2 linked regions of the Macaca fascicularis genome follow. The protein of the gene in region 2 interacts with the protein of the main gene of each other region in a biochemical or structural test. Links are inferred from orthologs where the notes say so. Each region holds a gene or a part of one and is shown on either strand. Other genes may lie near its edges.

Region 1 (3,565 bases), on a different chromosome or scaffold from region 2:
ACAACCAGAAATTTCTCCAGGCATTGCCAAATGTCCCCTGGTGGGGGCGGGGGGGCAAATTCATTCCCAGTTGAAAACCATTGCTCTAGACTGCCCCCACTCCCTGCCAGGAGTTTGATGACAGGGATGGCAGGATGGTTTGCAATGTGGACAGTCTGATTTACGTGTGTGACTGTGGCTGGGCGCAGTGGCTCACACCTGTAATCCCAACACTAAGAGGCCAAGGTGAGTGGATCACTTGAGCTCAGGAGTTTGAGACCAGCCTGGGCAACATGGTGAGACCTTGTCTCTACAAAAAATACAAAAATTAGTAGCTGGGCACAGTGGTTCATGCTTGTGGTCCCAGCCTACTGGGGAGGCTGAAGTGGGAGGATTGCTTGAGCCCAGGAGGTCAAGGCTGCAGTGAGCTGTGTTCACGACATTGCACTCTAACCCAGGCAACAGAGTGAGACCCTGTCTCAAAAATAAAATAATAAATAAAATAATGTAACTTTGGGTTTTTTTCTCTACGCAAAATCATCAGAAGTGCTCCTCAAGCGCCCTGTTTGGAAGGTCTCAAGTAAATTGTTTCTTAAAGGCATCTAGATACTTGTTTTAGCTGCGTTACTGGGTGCCAAACCTCAGGGCAGCTGTAGGGTCTTGTCCATCTTCATATCCTAGGCACTCAGTAAACATTTAGGGGAATGAATGAGTGCACCCACCCTCAAAGTAGCTTAGATTGTTTAGTTGGGCTCTCCTTCCTAAGTTACCAGCACAAACCTTTTCTCCAAGAACAAAGTTACTATATGGAGAAAGAGAAAGAAGGAAGGAGTTGGATGGTCTCATCTTCCTCAGCATTCTGGGCTGTCTCCTGATCTCTTGGAAATGAATTGGTTGTGTTAGACCTTTCCAGTCAAAAGGGGGTGAGGTGAACCCATTCTAGTGGTGATCCTAGAGAAACCATTGAATCTTCCTGGGCCTTGGTTTCCTCTTTCTTTAAATAGGTTGACCAAGATGATGTGCAGAGTCTAAGGTTCCAGTGGCTGTTAAGTGATTCTCTGTGAATCCATGGCCCCTTGTCACATGCCTTAGTCTGCAGCGTGTGGTTGTGGATGTGGATGAGGTGGTTTAACCCTGCACTAACATTTGTTTTCCTTCTGCTTTTTTAGCCACTGTATACATCAGATTCTGGAGAGTGTTAACCACATCCACCAGCATGACATCGTCCACAGGGACCTGAAGGTACTACCCAGGCCCCCCTCCTTGCCTTTGCTTATGAAGTGTTGGCGCCACCTGGTGCCAGATAGTGGTACTGCGTAGGTCCCAACTAGGCTCCCTCTGGGCTGCAGGGTGGGTGCTCACAAGGTTCTCTCTGTTCCTTCTGCAGCCTGAGAACCTGCTGCTGGCGAGTAAATGCAAGGGTGCCGCTGTCAAGCTGGCTGATTTTGGCCTAGCCATCGAAGTACAGGGAGAGCAGCAGGCTTGGTTTGGTAAGGGTAACCCTGTCTTCCCAGAATGCAGCCCCCGCCCTTCCTCCTCTTCCTGATCGGCCTTCCTCTATTAGAACTAGAAGCCAAGGCTGGGCGCGGTGGCTCAAGCCTGTAATCCCAGCACTTTGGGAGGCCGAGATGGGCAGATCACGAGGTCAGGAGATCGAGACCATCCTGGCTAACACGGTGAAACCCGTCTCTACTAAAAAAATATAAAAAACTAGCCGGGCGAGGTGGCGGGCACCTGTAGTCCCAGCTACTCGGGAAGCTGAGGCAGGAGAATGGCGTAAACCCGGGAGGCGGAGCTTGCAGTGAGCTGAGATCTGGCCACTGCACTCCAGCCTGGGCGACAGAGCAAGACTCCGTCTCAAAAAAAAAAAAAAAAAACGAACTAGAAGCCAGACCCTTAATGGTCCTGGCCTCCTCAGAGACTGGCAGAGGGTGGGAGGGTGCAGAGATCTCTCTTGGCCCTACATGACTCATTACAGCAAGTCTAGCTGTTGTCAGCACTGCTTTCTTGCTGCCTCTGGGAAGGAGCTGGAGTTCCTGGTAGGCATACGGCTTTGTCCTCTGGTTCAGACTCCAGGCATTACAAGAAGCCCAGCCTGTCAGCTCTTGCTGCCCATGTGCTGAGTGCTTATGTAGCAAAAGCAGCAGGAATGAGAAGGGACTTGGGGGAAATGATTGGTGTGGATTTAACGAGAGAGAAAGTGGGTTCAGTATGCCTCTGCCCTCTCTTCTGCTACAGGTTTTGCTGGAACCCCAGGTTACTTGTCCCCTGAGGTCTTGAGGAAAGATCCCTATGGAAAACCTGTGGATATCTGGGCCTGCGGTAAGCCCATTCCACGCTCTCAGCTTTTCGCTGTTAAGGGCCCTTAACTTCCGATGATGGCAAGAAAGAGGCATCGCTATTCCTTGCGGGTCACACATACATGCCTGGTGTATGTGAAGTTACAGTGTTTGCTCTAGTGCCCCTGGGATGGCCGTTCCCATCACACTCTCCTCCCTGAGTGCTTCTGGGATGACATTGTATCCTTCTTGGAGAGGGATTTGCCCACGCCCTACAGGATGGGTTGTGCCTAAAGAAATCCCTGGTGTGACTTGGTGACGTGAAGTGTGAGGCATAGCAGGAGGGGCTGGTAGCATAGCATTATTGGCTGGCATCCACTTCTGTCTCTGGTATGGCCCCTGCCTTTCTAGGTGGCTCTGAGCCCTGCATGGCTTTTCTTGGTTCCTCAGGGAAGTAGGCGACTGACCCCCATGACCTGTGTGTTCTGTCTCGTAGGGGTCATCCTGTATATCCTCCTGGTGGGCTATCCTCCCTTCTGGGATGAGGATCAGCACAAGCTGTATCAGCAGATCAAGGCTGGAGCCTATGATGTAAGGACCAGAGAGCCGGGCAGCCAGGCCAGGAAGGGCAGATGTCCTGCTCCTCGGGCTTTGTCCAAGGGAGCAGGCTTGTTTAGTGTGTCATGTGATACAGGGGGTGTCAGGGGACTTTGAGGACCCAGGGATGGGCATCCAGGGCCCAATTCTTGCCACCCTATGTCCCAGGGAGCAACTTTCTTTTGCACAGCCTTCTTTGTAACTAAAGCTGAGGAGCCCACTGAAGTCCTTTGATCTTTACTTGCAAAGAATGGAGCAGCCTCATTGGTGTGCTATGTAACACAGGGACAAAAGGCCTGGAGACTCCCTTCACTGCAGTGGCACCTTGGACACATCGCTGAGCCTCCATTCCCTCCTAAGTAGAGAGCTGGGCTTAAACCAGAGAATGTTGGAGTCCCCTTCCTGCTCTGATCTGATATTCTGGTGTTCTAACCATGAGTGTTCTGTCTGTCTTTCCCAGTCTTTAAGTTGACACGGGTTCTGGGATAGCCCCAGGGCTTCTCCAACTCTGCTGGTCACAGCTTTAGGTACCACAGAGTATCCCAATTACAGGAGTTGAGTTGAAGACAGAGCCAATGTTTCAGGGTGTGAAGCTCACCAATATCATATTCCTCTTCTCCCTGTTCCTGCTCTTTAGTTCCCATCACCAGAATGGGACACGGTAACTCCTGAAGCCAAGAACTTGATCAACCAGATGCTGACCATAAACC
Region 2 (4,180 bases):
GACAAGAGGGCCCTAATCTTACCAAGCCAGGCCCTCCTCAATCCAAGGCCTTCTTAGGCGTTGCCAAGGAAACAGATGCAGCAGCCAAAGAGCCTGGCCCAGGTCTCCATGACAACCTACCACAGCCCACCAGGGTCCATCCATCTGTTATGTCACCTGAGCCCCAAATGGGTGCCCTCCCAGCCTCACCACACTTGTCACAATCAGATGTCACAGTCTGATAGCAGGTCCCTGTCACAAAATACCTCACAGCCTGACCTGTAACCCTCACACCCCTGAGAGATGAGCAAGGAGCTAAGACACTCCTCATACTTTGACCACACGCTGTGTTTATGGCCCTCTTGGGTGGGGGTCTGAACCTCCAGGCCCTAGATGTGCCCTGGGCAGCTGGCTCAGCCTGCAGCTAGAAAGAAGAAGGGAGACCTTGGCGACTCAAAATGGCTGGCTCCTGCTGGCATTCAACACCCGTTGGCCTGGATTTCCCCAACTCTGGGCAACTTCCAGTCCAGAAGCAGAATAACCAGAGCCAGGGCCAGGGCCAGGGCCAGGGCTGGGACAAATTATTTTTAGCAGAGTTGCTGGCAGCTGCCTGGTGGGTGCTGGGAGGTGGGATGGGGACTGAGTTTAATCCCTTCCCTCTTCTGGGCTGGGGTTTCCTCCCCAGGAGTCAAGCAGGTACCTCCACCTGCAACACTGTCAGAGCCGCCCCCACCCCCAGCAGCCCTCTCAGAGCCCCCAGGGGCTCACGGGGTGACACCAACCCTCACCCTGAAGAGTAGGCTCATTAGGGAGAATCTTCAACTCCAGGATGGGGAGAGAGTGGAAAGGATTTTGTGTGAAATGACACCCCCTAAATTCCAGCTCAGACCTGAACCTCTGGGGAGTGGGTGTCATGGGCAGAGAAGAGGGATCTCTGTCCAGCCTGTAACTCGTTTACTTGCTAAGAGGAAGACCGGCGACTTGGGGAGAGGGAAGGGAGAATTCACTCTCACGGGGCCAGACCGAATTCTTCCCCTGAGGGCAGTTGCTGCTCTTGGCTGGTTGAGTTTACCCTGCTGCCTGCCTCCGCATCACGTACTCCCCCGGCAGCCTCGCGCTCTCTCTCCTCACACACACACTCAGCCCCGGACCTTGCCTACCAGTCAGCCGCTCTATTCCCAGACAGCTACTGCTCCTCCCCTGGCGGGTAGGGCGGGGTGTCGGGTGTGCGAGGTCTGAGGAGGAGGGTGGGGGATTCCCCTGGTGGGGGTGGACAGACACGTCAGCCCCCGCAGCAGCGTGAACCGGGGGCGGGAGCGGGGGCGGGTGGAGGCTTAAATAGGCGACTCTGGAGCCAGAGCCCAGTGCGGGCTGAGAAGGCGGTGGCTGCAGCAGCAGCGGCGGCGGAGACCCAAGAGTCCAAGTCCAGACTACGAGTGGGTTGCATCCTAACCCGGATCCTAGTCCTGAGCGTGTCTGTGTGCGAGTGGGTGAGTGTCTTGGCGGAGCGGGGTCGGGGCGGCTGCAGATAGATGCGCCAGGTCCGGAGGGGTCCCCGGTGAGGGCGCCGCGACCTCGGGGCTGGGGGAGGGCTGCGGCGGGACCTCCGCCCGAGCATCCCGCCTGACTCCAGGTTGGGCAGGTGCGCCCCGGGTCCCGCCTCCCTCACGGCTTACACGGTCACCCGGGTTCCTGCTCCCCTAGACGGCCCCGGACACGATGACCCTGAACGGCGGCGACAGCGGAGCGGGCGGCAGCCGCGGCGGGGGCCGGGAGCGCGAGCGCCGTCGGGGCAGCACGCCCTGGGGCCCAGCGCCGCCGCTGCACCGCCGCAGCATGCCGGTGGACGAGCGCGACCTGCAGGCGGCGCTGGCCCCCGGGTCCCTGGCGGCGGCTGCGGCCGGGACGGGGACTCAGGGTCCCAGGCTGGACTGGCCCGAGGACTCTGAGGACTCACTCAGCTCGGGGGGCAGCGACTCTGACGAGAGCGTTTACAAGGTGCTGCTGCTGGGGGCGCCCGGCGTGGGCAAGAGCGCCCTGGCGCGCATCTTCGGCGGTGTGGAGGATGGTCCCGAAGCAGAGGCAGCAGGTGAGCGGATCGAGCTGTTCGCGAGAGGGGAGATCCCGGGGCTAGGACTGAGGGCTGAGACCAGGACTCAAAGCCGCAAATACCATGGAAGAATTTATTATTATTATTATTATTATTATTATTATTATTATTATTATTTTGAGACGGAGTTTCGCTCTTTCGCCCAGGCTGGAGTGCAGTGGCCCGATCTAGGCTCACTGCAACCTCTGCCTTCGGGTTTCAAGGGATTCTCCTGCCTCAGCCTCCAGAGTAGCTGGGATTACAGGCGCCCACCACCACCCCCGGCTAATTTTTGTGTTTTTAGTAGAGTTGGGGTTTCACCATGTTGGCCAGGCTGGTCTCGAACTTCTGACCTCGTGATCCACCCGCCTTGGCTTCCCAAGGTGCTGGGATTACAGGCGTGAGCCACCGCGCCTGGCCAATACTGTGGAATTCTATTCGTGTTTTCAGAATCACGCTTCTACCTACTCATTTCATAAATGGGGAAAGGAAAGGAGAAGGGACACCCCCTGGCCTTTGGTAGGGAAGAAATGCCCAGAGTAGAAGGCCAGGGCATAGATATGGCTGCTCTGTGGGATGGGACCGGACATCCCTCCCTGCCTATCAGGGACAGGTCAGAGTTTCGAACCAGAGGGATTTCTAAGAGAGGAGCCCTAGGTGGCCAAGGTCCCTAGGGAGCAGGACAGTCACTATTCTAACTCAGGCCACTGGGTCAGAGCCACCTTGGGACCCAGGCAGCAGGAGGACAGGGGGCATTGGAGCAGCCACCTGGGACATTGCTAGCTTGGGGGGCATGTGGGTAGAGGTCAGGCACACCATGCCCTCCAGCCCCCACTTCCCTGCCTGGCACTGCTGTTGCCACATACCAGCATCTGCAAGTGGAGTGGAGGATGAGGAGGGCTCTGGGGAGGAGCTGGAGGGTGTGGCCATAACAGGAAACCTGGCAGCAGGGGCTTTGACAGTCAGCTGGTAACCTGTTTACTGGTCTCCTGCCTAGGGCACACCTATGATCGCTCCATTGTGGTGGACGGAGAAGAGGCATCACTCATGGTCTACGACATTTGGGAGCAGGTAGGGTACAGGCTGAGACCCAGGGCAGGGGAGGGAGGAGTGAGTTGGGGTAGGGGTCTGGGAGTGCCAGGCTTGTGTCAGGGTCATGAGGACTGTTGGGCAGACTGTGTGTGTGTGTTCCCCAGGACGGGGGCCGCTGGTTGCCCGGACACTGCATGGCCATGGGGGATGCCTATGTCATCGTGTACTCAGTGACGGACAAGGGCAGCTTCGAGAAGGCCTCAGAACTGCGGGTCCAGCTGCGTCGTGCACGGCAAACAGATGATGTGCCCATCATCCTTGTGGGCAACAAGAGCGACCTGGTGCGCTCTCGTGAGGTCTCAGTGGATGGTGAGTAGGCGGCAGGTTGCAGGGGGAGGGAGTGCCCAGCTGGGCCCTGATATAGGCAGTCTTGGCTCAGCTTGAGTCCCTGGGGATAATCAGAGGCTAAAAATGTTCAGAAAGAAAACTGGCGGGGAGGGAAATGGGAGAGAGCCGGTGCCTGCTCACAGGGCTCCAGAAGGCCCCAGAGGGGTGGGGAAAGAACCAAATCTGATAGGGGAGCTGGGGGACCGCAGGGCCCTCCTCTCCTGCCCCTCTTGGTCCTGACCTGGCTGGTTTCGGGGTAAGTGGGTGGAAGAGAGTGTAGGGGAACAGGCCAGGAGGTCAGAGTCCTAGGTCTCGGCCATTCTTACAGTAGACTTGGCCCTGGGGAAGACCCGTCCCACTTGGCCTCAGCATCCTTTCCTATGGGTCCTGGTACTGAGCCCCTCAGAGGAACCCAGCAGTGACTTGGTGACCTTGCCCATGCAACCCGAATCCACTGCATCGTTTGTCATGATATAACCTCTAATTAAAAACTACTAAGTTGTGCCAGGCGCAGTGGCTCACGCCTGTAATCCCAGCACTTTGGGAGGCCGAGGCGGGCGGATCATGAGGTCAGGAGATCAAGACCCATCCTGGCTAGCACAGTGAAACCCGGTCTCTACTAAAAATACCAAAAATTAGCCAGGCATGGTGGCGGGCGCCTGTAGTCCCAGCTACTTGGGAGGCTGAGGCAGG

The links. The genes of interacting proteins can lie anywhere in the genome.
Region 1: of the proteins of RRAD (region 2) and CAMK2G, one has a biochemical effect on the other in vitro, tested with the Homo sapiens proteins (2 studies listed by BioGRID, with this or other methods). The link is inferred for Macaca fascicularis from reciprocal best matches to the Homo sapiens genes RRAD and CAMK2G.

What each region holds. Positions count from the first base shown.
Region 1 is NC_088383.1:72,599,614-72,603,178, forward strand, and holds part of CAMK2G (calcium/calmodulin-dependent protein kinase type II subunit gamma), read left to right. Parts: intron 1-1,148; coding exon 1,149-1,221; intron 1,222-1,366; coding exon 1,367-1,469; intron 1,470-2,217; coding exon 2,218-2,301; intron 2,302-2,754; coding exon 2,755-2,849; intron 2,850-3,492; coding exon 3,493-3,565.
Region 2 is NC_088394.1:62,935,199-62,939,378, reverse strand, and holds the start of RRAD (GTP-binding protein RAD), read left to right. Parts: upstream 1-1,342; 5' UTR 1,343-1,469; intron 1,470-1,683; 5' UTR 1,684-1,698; coding exon 1,699-2,068; intron 2,069-3,065; coding exon 3,066-3,139; intron 3,140-3,264; coding exon 3,265-3,469; intron 3,470-4,180. UniProt on the Homo sapiens protein: May regulate basal voltage-dependent L-type Ca(2+) currents and be required for beta-adrenergic augmentation of Ca(2+) influx in cardiomyocytes, thereby regulating increases in heart rate and contractile force.